Linked DNA regions of Mus musculus. The protein of the gene in region 1 interacts with the protein of each later gene in a pairwise test. Links are inferred from orthologs where the notes say so. Each region holds a gene or a part of one and is shown on either strand. Other genes may lie near its edges.

Evidence for each region.
Region 2: the proteins of Ccdc136 (region 1) and Cdk2ap1 interact in binary tests that used the Homo sapiens proteins (3 or more experiments, as listed by UniProt). The two-hybrid records come from large-scale screens. The link is inferred for Mus musculus from reciprocal best matches to the Homo sapiens genes CCDC136 and CDK2AP1.

Annotation. Positions count from the first base shown.
Region 1 is NC_000072.6:29,400,766-29,408,964, forward strand, and holds part of Ccdc136 (coiled-coil domain-containing protein 136), read left to right. Parts: intron 1-2,096; exon of another isoform or gene 2,097-2,244; coding exon of another isoform or gene 2,245-2,260; intron 2,261-5,105; coding exon 5,106-5,426; intron 5,427-8,199. UniProt on the Homo sapiens protein: May play a role in acrosome formation in spermatogenesis and in fertilization.
Region 2 is NC_000071.6:124,352,278-124,355,877, forward strand, and holds the start of Cdk2ap1 (cyclin-dependent kinase 2-associated protein 1), read right to left. Parts: upstream 2,352-3,600; 5' UTR 2,095-2,351; coding exon 2,040-2,094; intron 1-2,039. UniProt on the Homo sapiens protein: Inhibitor of cyclin-dependent kinase CDK2. Also acts as a component of the histone deacetylase NuRD complex which participates in the remodeling of chromatin.

The DNA.
Region 1 (8,199 bases):
AAGTTCAGGTATTAATAAAGGCAACACAGGTATGAATATAATATTCAGTATAAATATGTGATATCGATAAGTTAATTTTTTTTTACCAGTAAAATGAGCCACCTCAAGCCAGATTAGATTATATTAAATGCAGGTTTATTGGGAAGCTGCTTTCAGGTGAGTTCACTGACCCCAAGGACTAAAGCCAAGGGAGTCGCCATGGGAAGGAGAGAGAGGTGAAGAGAAAAAGAAAGAAAGTAAAAGTATGCGCAGAGACTGAAGAGAAGAAGAAGAGAAAAGGAGATCAAAATGTCTGGAATATATAAGGAGGAGCCTCTCGGGGAAGGGCAGCCCAGCCCCTGGGCTAGAAAGTTCAGGGTTGGGGGCAGGGTATGCCAGGTAGGGGCTGAGAGATGCTGGGAGAACCTGGAGGCTAGGTCTGCTTTGGTATGGAAGATATGTCCTTCTCCCAGGACAGATACATGGATAGGGATGAGGTAGGAGTTAGTTAGGTGATGAAAAGCCTTCAAGAAGGGGGTGCTTCCGTTGCGTAATGGGAAGAATCCAACCATTCAAAATCTGATGGACAGACCTACTAGACAGAAGAACGGCAACAGCAAGGTCCGGAGATGAGAATGAGCTTCATGGGTGAGGGGACCAGAACCAAGGTCATTTCAAAGTTCATGGGAAGGTCCCTTGTAGGAGTACGTTCCAAGAAGAAGGCAGAGGTCTGCTTAGGGTGGGTAGGCCTTTTAGGTCAGCTGACAGAGCTAGCTTTCATCATAGGAAAGGAGATGCTACAAGAGGCTGGAATGACTGATACGATCTACATTTTTAGTTAGCTCTTTGCCTTTTTCCCCCCGTGGTGGGGGTTGAATCCAAGGCTTTTGCCAGGTGCTGACCACTGAGCAACATCCTTAAACCTTTGCTTTCCCTTTGCAAGAGAGTACTTTAGAATCCAGGAGGAAGAAATGGCGTTAGGCATGCTAGTAGGTCCATTTAACTGACTGCTTTCTTTTTTTTTTTTTTTTTTTTTTTTTTTTTTTCGAGACAGTGTTTCTCTGTGTAGTCTTGGCTGTCCTGGAACTCACTCTGTAGACCAGGCTGGCCTCGAACTCAGAAATCCACCTGCTTCTGCCTCCCAAGTGCTGGGATTAAAGGTGTGCGCCACCATGCCCAGCCTAACTGACTTTCTTGAATTAAGGCAGTAGAAATGGAGATGGTTGGGAGCATATTTTGAATGTGGTCCCTTCATGACTTTGCCAGGAGAAACTGGGTAAATACTGATATCTAGTGGGATGTCGAAGGGAAAGCTTGGTAAGAAATTTGCTTGCGAACTAGAGAAGCCATTTAAAAGTTTTTTGGCTGGATGGGTTTGTTTGATGTCCAAGTGAGTATGTGAAGGAGCCATTTGCGTGTATGATCTAGAACTGGGGGTGAAACAAGGGCTGAAAATGAGCTTTGGTAATTATTAACAAGCAGACAGCATCATCTATGGGAGATGGACATTCGTTCAGTCACACCAAGAGATACCAGAGGGGAGAGAAAGAGACACTCCTAAGTAGGGGCCCAAGATAGGAGGAATGGTAAAAGGAACATGACTCTGCCCTGAAAGGCAAGAGCAAAAGATGCTTCAGGGAAATGATGATCCACTGTGTGGAAAGCTGGGAAGGCAACGGAGGTGGCTGCTTGGGTCGGCAAGATGGAGAACCAGGAGCCATGGCAGAATGGACTGGGATTGGCGAGAGAGAAACGGGAGGTCAAATGGAGAACAAACTGCGTACAGATCATAGTGATAGCCATTTTAAAGAGAAATAAGGGAAGGTGAGGTGGAAAGGGTTTCGTTTTTAAGGCAAGGAACCCTTGATCTTGTTTTTATGATGAAGGAAAGGGTCCCATTGAGTCGAGCCAAGTATTAGTCTTTGCTTGGAAAAGAGGTTTTTTTTTTCTTCCCAGGATGGAGAAGTCTGAAAGTCTGAAAGAGCCAGGGAAACAGGGAAATAAGAGTTGTTGCTAGAGGTCAAGGATTCCCAGGCAGGTGAGGGACCGCGGGCATCCAACCCACTCCAAGCCCCGCCCCGCGGATGGAACCTGAGACGGGTCCTTGCGCACGCGCCTTGCCCGTTTCCGCCGAGTGGGGGCGCTCGCGGCCTCAGAGGTACCTAGTGTTCAGAGGCGGTTCCGGCCGCCAAAGCCCCCCTGGGGCGGCACCGGCCGGGAGGCGGGAGCCCCCCCTTTGGAGACCGCTTGTGGGGGGCCGCCGAGATGCAGGCCATAACCAGTAAGTGCCAAGTGTCTTCTTTGCCCCCCGAATCCTCCGCCGCGCCCCCTGAAGGCCCCAGCCCGCAGTCAACCGGCGCCAGCTCTTTGGAACCTGGTCCCTGCCTTTCCAACTCCTGGCTGGCCTATCCCATTCAGCTTCCAAGATGAGCCTGGCCCCTCGCCACCTATCACTACCCTGACTCCCATGATCTAAGAAGGCTCTTTACAGAGCCAGGTCCCGAACAGCTAGCTAGTGAGGTTTGAGGGTATGCTAGGGAGATGGAGGTTAGGCTGTGCCCCTAGAATGCCCAGGCCTGGGGTGGGGTCTTCATCATAGTGACCAGTTGACACCCCCCCCCCCCCATGCCTCTCGCTCCAACTAAGCTGAGCTGAGGATCTAGATATCACCTTGTAAATTCTTGTACTGTGGAATATATTTGTGTTGTGGGGTGTTTTAGTTGGTCTTCCCATCTCTTGGTCATAAACTTTATGAAAACAAGGAACACGCTGGTTTTATTTACTTCCTTTCAAATAGAAAGTCAGGATGTGGGGATACGGGTCAGTATGTAGCCATATGAGATGCTGGGTTCAACCTGTCCACTTATTGGCCATATACCCAAATGGGTGCTTTCTCCCTTCTTCTCTCCCTCCCGTACAGCTTGACACAGGCTGGTCTCAAACTCCTAGACTCAAGCAGTACTCTTACTTCGGCCTCTAGAGTGCTGGGACTATAGACATGTACAATGGTGCCCTTAAATGTGTCTTATAGAACGCCCATGTGCTCTTAACATGTAATGTTGCGTATACAGAAGAAACTCAGTAAAAATTGAATGAATGAGTCTCTACCTCCTACATGAATATAGTAAATTTATATTTATTGAGCTGGATTTGGGCTTAATTTCCTTGGTTAAAGGTTGAACCCAGCATCTCATGTGTGCTAGGTACTGAACTACATCCCCATGGCCTGACTTTCTGTTTGAAAGGAAGTAAATGAAACCAGCATGTTCCCTGTTTGCATAAACTTTATAGCCAAGTGAGGACAGAACGGAACACAGCCACATGTGCTACAGAGTTCAAGGCACTATATGAGCCTTGAGGATTCCTCTTAACTTTTGGAGGAGGTGGAGGAGACGTTAGAAAAAGATGGAACCTGGATGTTTGCTAGAATATGCAGGAGATGGGACATGGGGACAGCATACCTTGTAAAGTCCAGTTCTCTTCCATCCCTTAATCCTTCCCACACTTCTGAAGTCTTCTTGAAATCCATGACTTTAACTCTCCACTTCCGAGTTATTTTCACCCATTCCAAATGGGTGCCTGCATCCAGATGCGAAACTAGATATAGTGACTCATGTCTGTAATCTCATCACTCGGGAGGCTGAGTTTGAGATCAGCCTGTGCTACAGAATGAGACCCTGTCTTAAAAAGCAAAAGAGGAGAGGTAGGTGGATCTCTTGAGTTCCAGGACAGCCAGGGCTACACAGAGAAACCTATTTCAAAAAACCAAAAAAGAAACAAACTGAAACAACCTCAGATGATCCCCAGGGTTCTGACACATTTGTTTTGCATATTAAAATATAAGCACAATCCATATATAAAGTGTAGACACGTGTGAAAAATCAAGCAACACTGCTACAAGATGGAGATTAAGACACCTGTAATGTTACCCTACTCCTCTGAAGCAATTGCTCTTTTTTAAATGTATTTTCTGTGACTCTGTGAATGTGGAAACCAGGAGTCAGTGTCAAGTGTCTTCCTCACTCTTCCCCTTATGTTTTGAGACAGAGACTCTCACTAAACCAGGAGCTCCCTGCTTTAGCCAAACTGGCAAGCCAATAAGCTGCAGGGATCTGTCTCTGCCTGCTCCACATGCTGTAGTCCCAGGGTTAGGGCACCGACTCATGCCACTAGGTCTGGGTTTTATGTGGATGCCAGGGATCTGATCTCAGGCCCTTAATTAAGCTTGTATGGTAAGCCCTTTTCCCACACTTGAAGCGTCTACTCTTTATGGTTTGGGGCATAGATCTTCTTCGACTGTTTTTCTGTATCTTTAAGTATTTATGTTGTACAGTATCTGATTTGTTTTTCTTTCTCCCTAATATATCCTAAAAATCACTTTCATATTTTTCTAGCTAGTAAAAAAGGTTTCTTTTGACTTAATGTTTTTGGAGGTCTAAAAGTGGCACAGACATTGGCTTCTACTTAAGGCTCTCGGTGAGCTGTATCATGATCCCAACAGTTGATGTTGTCAACCACCATGCAGGTTATTATTCGGTGTTTTATTTTTTTTTTTAAAGATTTATTTATTTATTATATGTAAGTACACTGGAGCTGTCTTCAGACACTCCAGAAGAGGGCGTCAGATCTTGTTACAGATGGTTGTGAGCCACCATGTGGTTTCTGGGATTTGAACTCCGGACCTTCGGAAGAGCAGTCGGGTGCTCTTACCCACTGAGCCATCTCACCAGCCCTGGTGTTTTATTATTTTGTGGTGAAATTATTATTTAATTTCACCTTGAATTCTACATGTGTACTGTTTTGCATCCTGTGCTTACAGGAAGTGTGGGGCTAAGAGGAGCCTCTGGGGTCTTGTATTTCCTAAGCCCCAGGATGGATAAATGAAAATACTCTGAATTTTGTTTTTTTTTTAACTTACGAAATTTTTAGAAAGACTTAGGACACTGATAAAATACAACCTATTAGGTGCTCTGGATCTCTGGTGGGGGAAAGACTAGGTTGTCAGTGGCTTTCAGACAGCAGGTAAGACTCTCTTGAACGCTGTGTTTCCAGACTTTGCTCAGCACATTCACCTCTTGACCACCAACCTTTGGGTTTGTTTGTTTGTTTGTTTGTTTGTTTTTCAGGTGAGCTGCAACATCTACGGGAGGAGATTTCCCTGTTAGAGCATGAGAAGGAAAGCGAACTTAAAGAAATGGAGCAGGAGTTGCATTTGGCCCAAGCAGAGATCCAAAATCTACGGCAAGCTGCGGCAGACTCTGCCACTGAACATGAGAGTGACATAGCGTCCTTGCAGGATGATCTCTGCCGGTTGCAGAATGATCTCGATGACATGGAGCGCATTCGAGGGGACTATGAGATGGAGATTGCCTCGCTCCGGGCAGAAATGGAATTGAAGACTTCTGAACCATCTAATCTAAGCATCTCCGACTTCTCTGGGATACAAGGTATGCAACTTTCTGGTCTGTTCACACAGTTGAACAGAGGAGAGGACATTGTAGATAGGAAGATGGTGGAAGAGTAGTGTTAGATTACGCATTAGAAACCTCTAGAAAAAAAGATCCCCTGTGTTTACTTTGAGATTGGAGAGGAAAACTCAGCTGTTACATAACCAGTCCATGATGGTGTAAGAATTAGAGATGGACCCTGGAGATTCTTAACAGAGAGCTGCCGGGCACTGGTTGGTGTGAGTATGGGAAGGTCCACTCTGGGAAAGTGTCCAGGTCTGGGGTAGATGCAGAAGGACCTGTCACGGTAGGAAACACTTCCTGCTGCTGTGGCATCATGGCTCTTTGCCTGAACCTGTTTGGGCCTCTAGCCCAGCCTTTAAGATCCAGAATGCTAATTCTTAGCTTCATTTAGCCCTCCTGAGTAGAAACTTTGGAAGGCAGCTAATCGGAGCACAAGACAGCTGGAGAGGAAAAAAAGGTTATTTCTAGTAATGCATGCGGTACTCAAAAGCTTCGAGCCCTGTTCCAGTCTGTCTCCCAGCTCGTTGCTAGGATTCATGACATCAGAGGGTTTGCCTTTATTCTAGCCTAGATTTATGATCCAAGTATAATGGAGGCCCTATATTTGGCCAGGTCAGGCAGAGACAGTCAACAAGGAAATCAAAGAATTGCAATCTTCCCAGCCGTATGAAGCTTTTCAGAAAGAGTTGCCTTTGGCCGGGTGGTGCTAGGAAAGGGCAGTGCAGGGGAAGGGGGCAGCTAGGGATGACCTAACCTGAGTCAAAAACCTGGCTCTAGTTGGGGAGCAGGATCAACTCAGTCAAGTTACTGTCTCTCTCCAAGCTTCATCTCTATATCTGGAGTCTGAACCCTACTTGGTTGATAAATTCTTACAGCAGGATGGGACTCTGGGACAAGAAAGGGAGGCCTAAGGGAAACACAGAGGAACCTGAGTGCTATGTGGAGTTAACTAGGATGGATGGCTGCTGGCTCCTTAGTCATGGCAGATGGGCAGTGGTGAGCTAAGAGCCCACAGCTGAGGAACCAAGGGGAGAATTCTCCAAGTGGGCTTCGGACTGGCTTCTTTTGTTTTGTTAGTCTAAAACTATACTAAAATCAAAGGTTTATTTAAGCAGGAGATCTTATAAAAGGCTATTTCAAGGATTAAATGAAGGTCAAAACCATCAAGTCTTCATACACAGTTCTCATTACAGTTTCTTACTTCCCACTGTAATCTTCAGGAATCTGAGAGTATTTATTTATTTATTTATATTTATTTATTTAAGACAGGTGTCCCTACATAGCCCTGGCTGTCCTAGAATTTGTTATGTAGACCAGGCTGGCCTTAAACTCACAGAGGTCTCTGCCTCTGCCTCCCAAATGCTGTGATTTAAGCTTGTGCCACCATGCCTGGACCTGTCTAAGAACTTGTGGTTGGATTAAAGAAGAAACATTAAAACTGGAGTTCAGGGGTGTTGAATCCTCTTACAAGTAAAATACCGTATATTGTAATTAAGGCCAGTTTGTGCATCTTAAATGTTAGTAGAACTAGTGTTCTAAGTGCTGTGATTCTTTGTCTGTGAATGAGTGTGTGCTGTATGTGTGTTGGAGTAGGGGACGCACTGACATCTACACATACTGTAGAAGCCAGGGGTTGATATGGGCATCTGCCTCTATCAGTGTCTGACATACCTTTTCTGGAGACAGGATCTGTTACTGAACTTGAAGTTTACCACCTTGACTAGACTGACTCACTAGGGATCCCCCAGAGTCTACCAGTCTCCACACCCTCAGTGCTGGGGTTATAGGTACAAGCTACCATCCCTGGCTTTTTAATGGAGACGTTGGGAATCTGAACTTAGGTCCTCATGTTTATACAAACACTTTACCTACTCAGCCACTTCCCCAGCCCCAGTAATATTATTCTTTTCTTGAAATCTTTATTTGGTTTTATTTATATGTATGTGTATCTGTGTGTCTGCCATGTTTGTGTAACTGCTGAGTCCAGCAGTGGGCGCTGAGCTGAAGTTATAGGTGGTTATAAGCCAGGTAACATGGGTGCTGGAAACTGATGTCGCTCTTGTAGAAAAGCATCAACTCACTTAAAGACTGAGCCATCTCTCTGACTCTCTGGCCCTGTTGGTTCTTATTCATAAAGAGATAAAGCATGGGTATTTGTAGCAACTGGGAAATTTTAATTAACCTTTTCTCTCTTCTAATGCTTGAGGAAAACATTTTAGATTGAGATGGGCTTTTTTTGTCAGCAGATGAAGAAAACGAATATGACTTGGGGGTGGTATGCTTGCTGGCTTGCATGGTAAGGCCCTAGGTTTTATCCCAAGCACCCTTCCTCCTCACCAACAAACAACCAAACAAACAAAACCCCACAAGGAATATTTATCTGTAGCCAGGCCAGTGTCTTCAGTGTGAAGAGAAAGGAAAGGAAGGATGGCCAGCATGAGTGGGTTGTCTGTGAAAGGCAGATCTAGAAGGTTCACATCTGGCAGGGCTTTGAACTAAAAGAGTCATGGGGGCTATAGTTGTCCCTCAGTTGCTAGAGGGCTTGCCTAACGTGCATGGAGCTCTGTACTGCATAAAAAGTCAGGCACTCAGGAGGTAGAAGCAGGAAGATCTGAAGTTTCAAGTCAGAGACCTGAGGCTCTGGAGAGAGAGAGAGAGAGAGAGAGAGAGAGAGAGAGAGAGAGAGAGAGAGAGAGAGAGAGAGACAGACAGACAGGCAGGCAGGCAGGCAGGCAATGGGGAGGTAACT
Region 2 (3,600 bases), on another chromosome or scaffold:
GAGAGAGCTGAGAGGGCTTGGCAGAGGCCAGGAAGCTCCTGGGGCCAGGCTCAGCTCCCCGCCCCCATGCCAGACAAAGAGCGGCCTGGGCCTGGGGAGCTGGCGGCCTTCCCGCCACTTGGGGCGCCCTGGGGGGGGGGGGCTCTCGGGCGGGGGAAGGCGGGGGCTTTGTCTAACTCCGCCACTGCCACTGCCGGCCAGGCCGCAGCTTGGCAACTCAGTGAGCAGGAGGCAGGCCTGGAGGGCGTGAGAGATGATGACAGGGAAGGCGGAGGAGCCACTGTGAGAGTCCATCTTGGATGCAGATGGCAGGGGAGAGAAGGGCTTTCTGCAAAGTAATACCGGCAAGCGGGCGGGCCCCCACCAAAATGCCGAACACCTGGAGACCCCCGCACGCATCCTGGCATTCCCCATTGGCAAAATAACTACAGCTGAATACAGGTGCTAGCAAGCCCAGAACAGGGCTTCAGAGTCCCAGGGGCGGTCTGCACTGGGACCCACACCCCAAAAGGTCCCCAGTGTAAGACACACGGGAAACTAGCCCAGATCAAGCCTACGTCTCTGGTCTCCCTAGGGCTGGCAACGCAACCTACTGCCCTTCCATCCCAAACACTGACCAAGAAGACTGAGAGGCAAAAATCATATCTGACGACAAATCCTGTCACCCAAAGGGAGTGAAACCATTTGAAAAGATACAGTGACTGCATGCTCTTGGGGGGGGGGGGTCTTTGTGCCCACGTGCTAGCGTTTCAACTCTCCCAGGCTGGCACCCTAAATCTCAACCTTTTCCAAACCCCAAAGAGCAGAGAAGTGGTTTAAAACACACGTCCAGAGCTTTTCCAGGTCCCTCTGAGGGTTTCTGGAGTTCTGGAATCAACATTTGGACACAAGACCTCCAACTTGGAAGTGCCAACGCGGGTGGGATTTTTAACACACAGCGACCATAACCAACTTCTACCCCCAACTCCTCCCAAAGGCCTTATCCCTCCTGGTCCCCACTACTTGGCATCTGTTGGGGCATCAGACTACTTGGGGTGGTCTGCTCACAGCCAAATGTCTGGGAGGAGAGGGTACTGGAATTGGACACAAAGCCAGTCACCTCTGGAAGTCAGTTTCACATCCCTATTCCGGGTTCCCTTGGGGTCCGGGGCTAGCCCCCAGCCACAGCCCAAAGCTGCCTGGGAACTTTGCAAGAGTTTCCTCGGCGGCGCCCAGGCCCGGAGGGGAAGGGAGACCAGGTCCACTTGGCTTGCGCAGCGCGGCCCTGCGGGGACGTCCCCACGTGGGAGATCTGAGATGGGGACCCCCGGGACCGGCGAGCCGCAGCATGCCGCCCACAGAACCCACGAGGCCGGGGCACTGCAACTTCTTCCAAGGGGTCTCCCGAGGGCCGGGGGAAGGAACCCGGGAGTCGCTCTCATCGCCAGGAAGCGGCCCCTGCCCACCGGGCCCGCCGCCCGGAACCCTGGCCAGATTCCCTCCCGGGCCCGCGGCCGCCCTGCACCCGGCTCGGCCCCAGCCTGTCCCGCTCCGCCGACCCTCCGAGCCCCGCTCCTTGCTCACTGCGTCGCCCGCCTCCCGCCGGCAGGGGCCCTCGCCGAGCCGCCCAAAAAGCCTAAGGGAAGGGGAAAGAAAAAGGGGGGGAGCTGGGGGGGGGGAGCCTTCCTCGCTCGGCTGCCCGCGTCCTCGCTTCCCCGCCATCCGCGGCCGCCCCGCCGCTCACACCGGGAGCCCCCGGCCGCTGCCCCGCCGAGCTCCGGGCGCACCGCGAACTTTGGCAGCGCAGCGGAGGCGGCGGAATCATGGCGGCGGCGGCGCGGCTGAGTCGGCGGCGGTGGCGTTCCCGCTGCCCCGGCCCGGGACACCTCCTTCCCTCCGCCCCGTTCCCTCGCGCCACCATCCTCGGCCAGCACGCCCGCCCAAGGCACCGCGCGCCTCCGGGGAGCCCCGGGCCGCGGCCCGGAGCGCGAGCCCCCAACTTGGCGACACTTGCGGCGCGGGGCGGCGCGCGCGGCCCGCGCTCGCTCGCTCTCACTCACCGGCGTTGAGGGCGGCGGCGGGCATGTGCGCGGTCAAGTTCGGCTTGTACGACATCCCCGCGGGCGGCGGGCGCGCCGGGCAGAGCCGGGCCAGGCCGCGAGCGCGCCGGCGAGGCCGAGGCCGAGGCCCGGGCCGGGCGGCCCCACGTCCCCGCAGCCGTCCGAGCGCCCGCCGGGAGCCCGCGCACTTTTTGTTGTCGCCGGCTCGGGCCGCGCCGGCAAATATGGCCGTCCCTCACCCTGCCGCCGCCGCCGCCGCCGCCGCCGCAGTAGATCACCCATACATCGGGCGCGCGGCGCAGGGGCGGCCGCAAACTTTGAGCCCAGCCGGTCGGTGCTGGGCCGGGGCCGGACCGGGAGGGGGCGGCGGGCGTCGAGGGGGCGGCTCCTCTCGCGGCCGCGCCCCGCGCTGCGCCGCCGCCCGCAACTTGCCAAAGTTTGGGGGGCTGCGGTCCCCGCGGCGCCCCCGCCGCGCCCCGGCCTCCCGCGCGCCGCTCATTGGCCCGCGCCTTCCTCTTTTCTTAAACAGCCAGGGAGGATGGAAGAAGTACTTTTTTTTTTCCTTCTTCTTCTTCTCAGTGTCTCTTGACTGTGGGGGCAGGGATGGAAAATTACCTGGAGAAAATGGTGGCGATTGGGGTGATTTGGTTTTGGTTTTTTTGGGTTTCTTTTTCTTTTTGGTTTTGGTTTTTTTTGTTGTTTTTTGTTTTTTTGTTTTTTTTTTAATTCACGGAAATCATTCCAGATGCCCACGTCTGGCTCTATCCCAGAATTAGAATAACCCATTCTTGACATTTATTTCGAGACGGGGAAAAAAAAAATGTCATGTCTCTGCTTGGATTAAGTGAGTTTGTTTTTTTTTTTTTTTAACCCTTTGGGAACCCAAGACGCCTTTGAGACTGACAAAAGCTGGATGGAGAGACAACGACACCTCCACTAGAAAATTCGCTCTTGCATCCGTCATGACGTTTGTCACACGAACTCTTTGGAATATTTCAACCGAGCACCTACTGTGTGCCCGACACGGTTTTTATAGGCTAAGGAGGCAAGAGTGAACTTGGCAAAGTTTCGACTCCCCGGAGTTTGCACTCCATTTTTTTTTTTTTTTTTGGACCCCTCTTCCCCTCCCCACCCCACCCTATCCCGCCCCACACACGCCCCCGCCCATCTCTAAACTGACTGAAACGTCACAACCAAACGTATTTGGGATGTGATGAATAACCTTCCAAAGGTACTATATTTTGGAGTTCTGCCTGCATAGTAATGCTCATCACATTACATAAAACGCCCACCTTTTTCTGTTGTTTTTAATCGCCATGGTTTGCAGGTTTTTTTTTTTTTTAATTAGTCATATTTAGACATCATCTGTGGATCTGGTGACAACGGCGTCAGCCTCTCCGCTAGAGAAAAAAAGGGGACCACCACCGGGGTCTTAATCCCCCCTTCTTTGGGACGAAAGGTGCAGAAGAGGGGACCTCCTCTTCCACCCTCCCCCACCACCACCAGCAGCACCCTTAGGCTCCTTCTGGCAAACTGCTTCCTGGTGACATTTTTCTCTTAT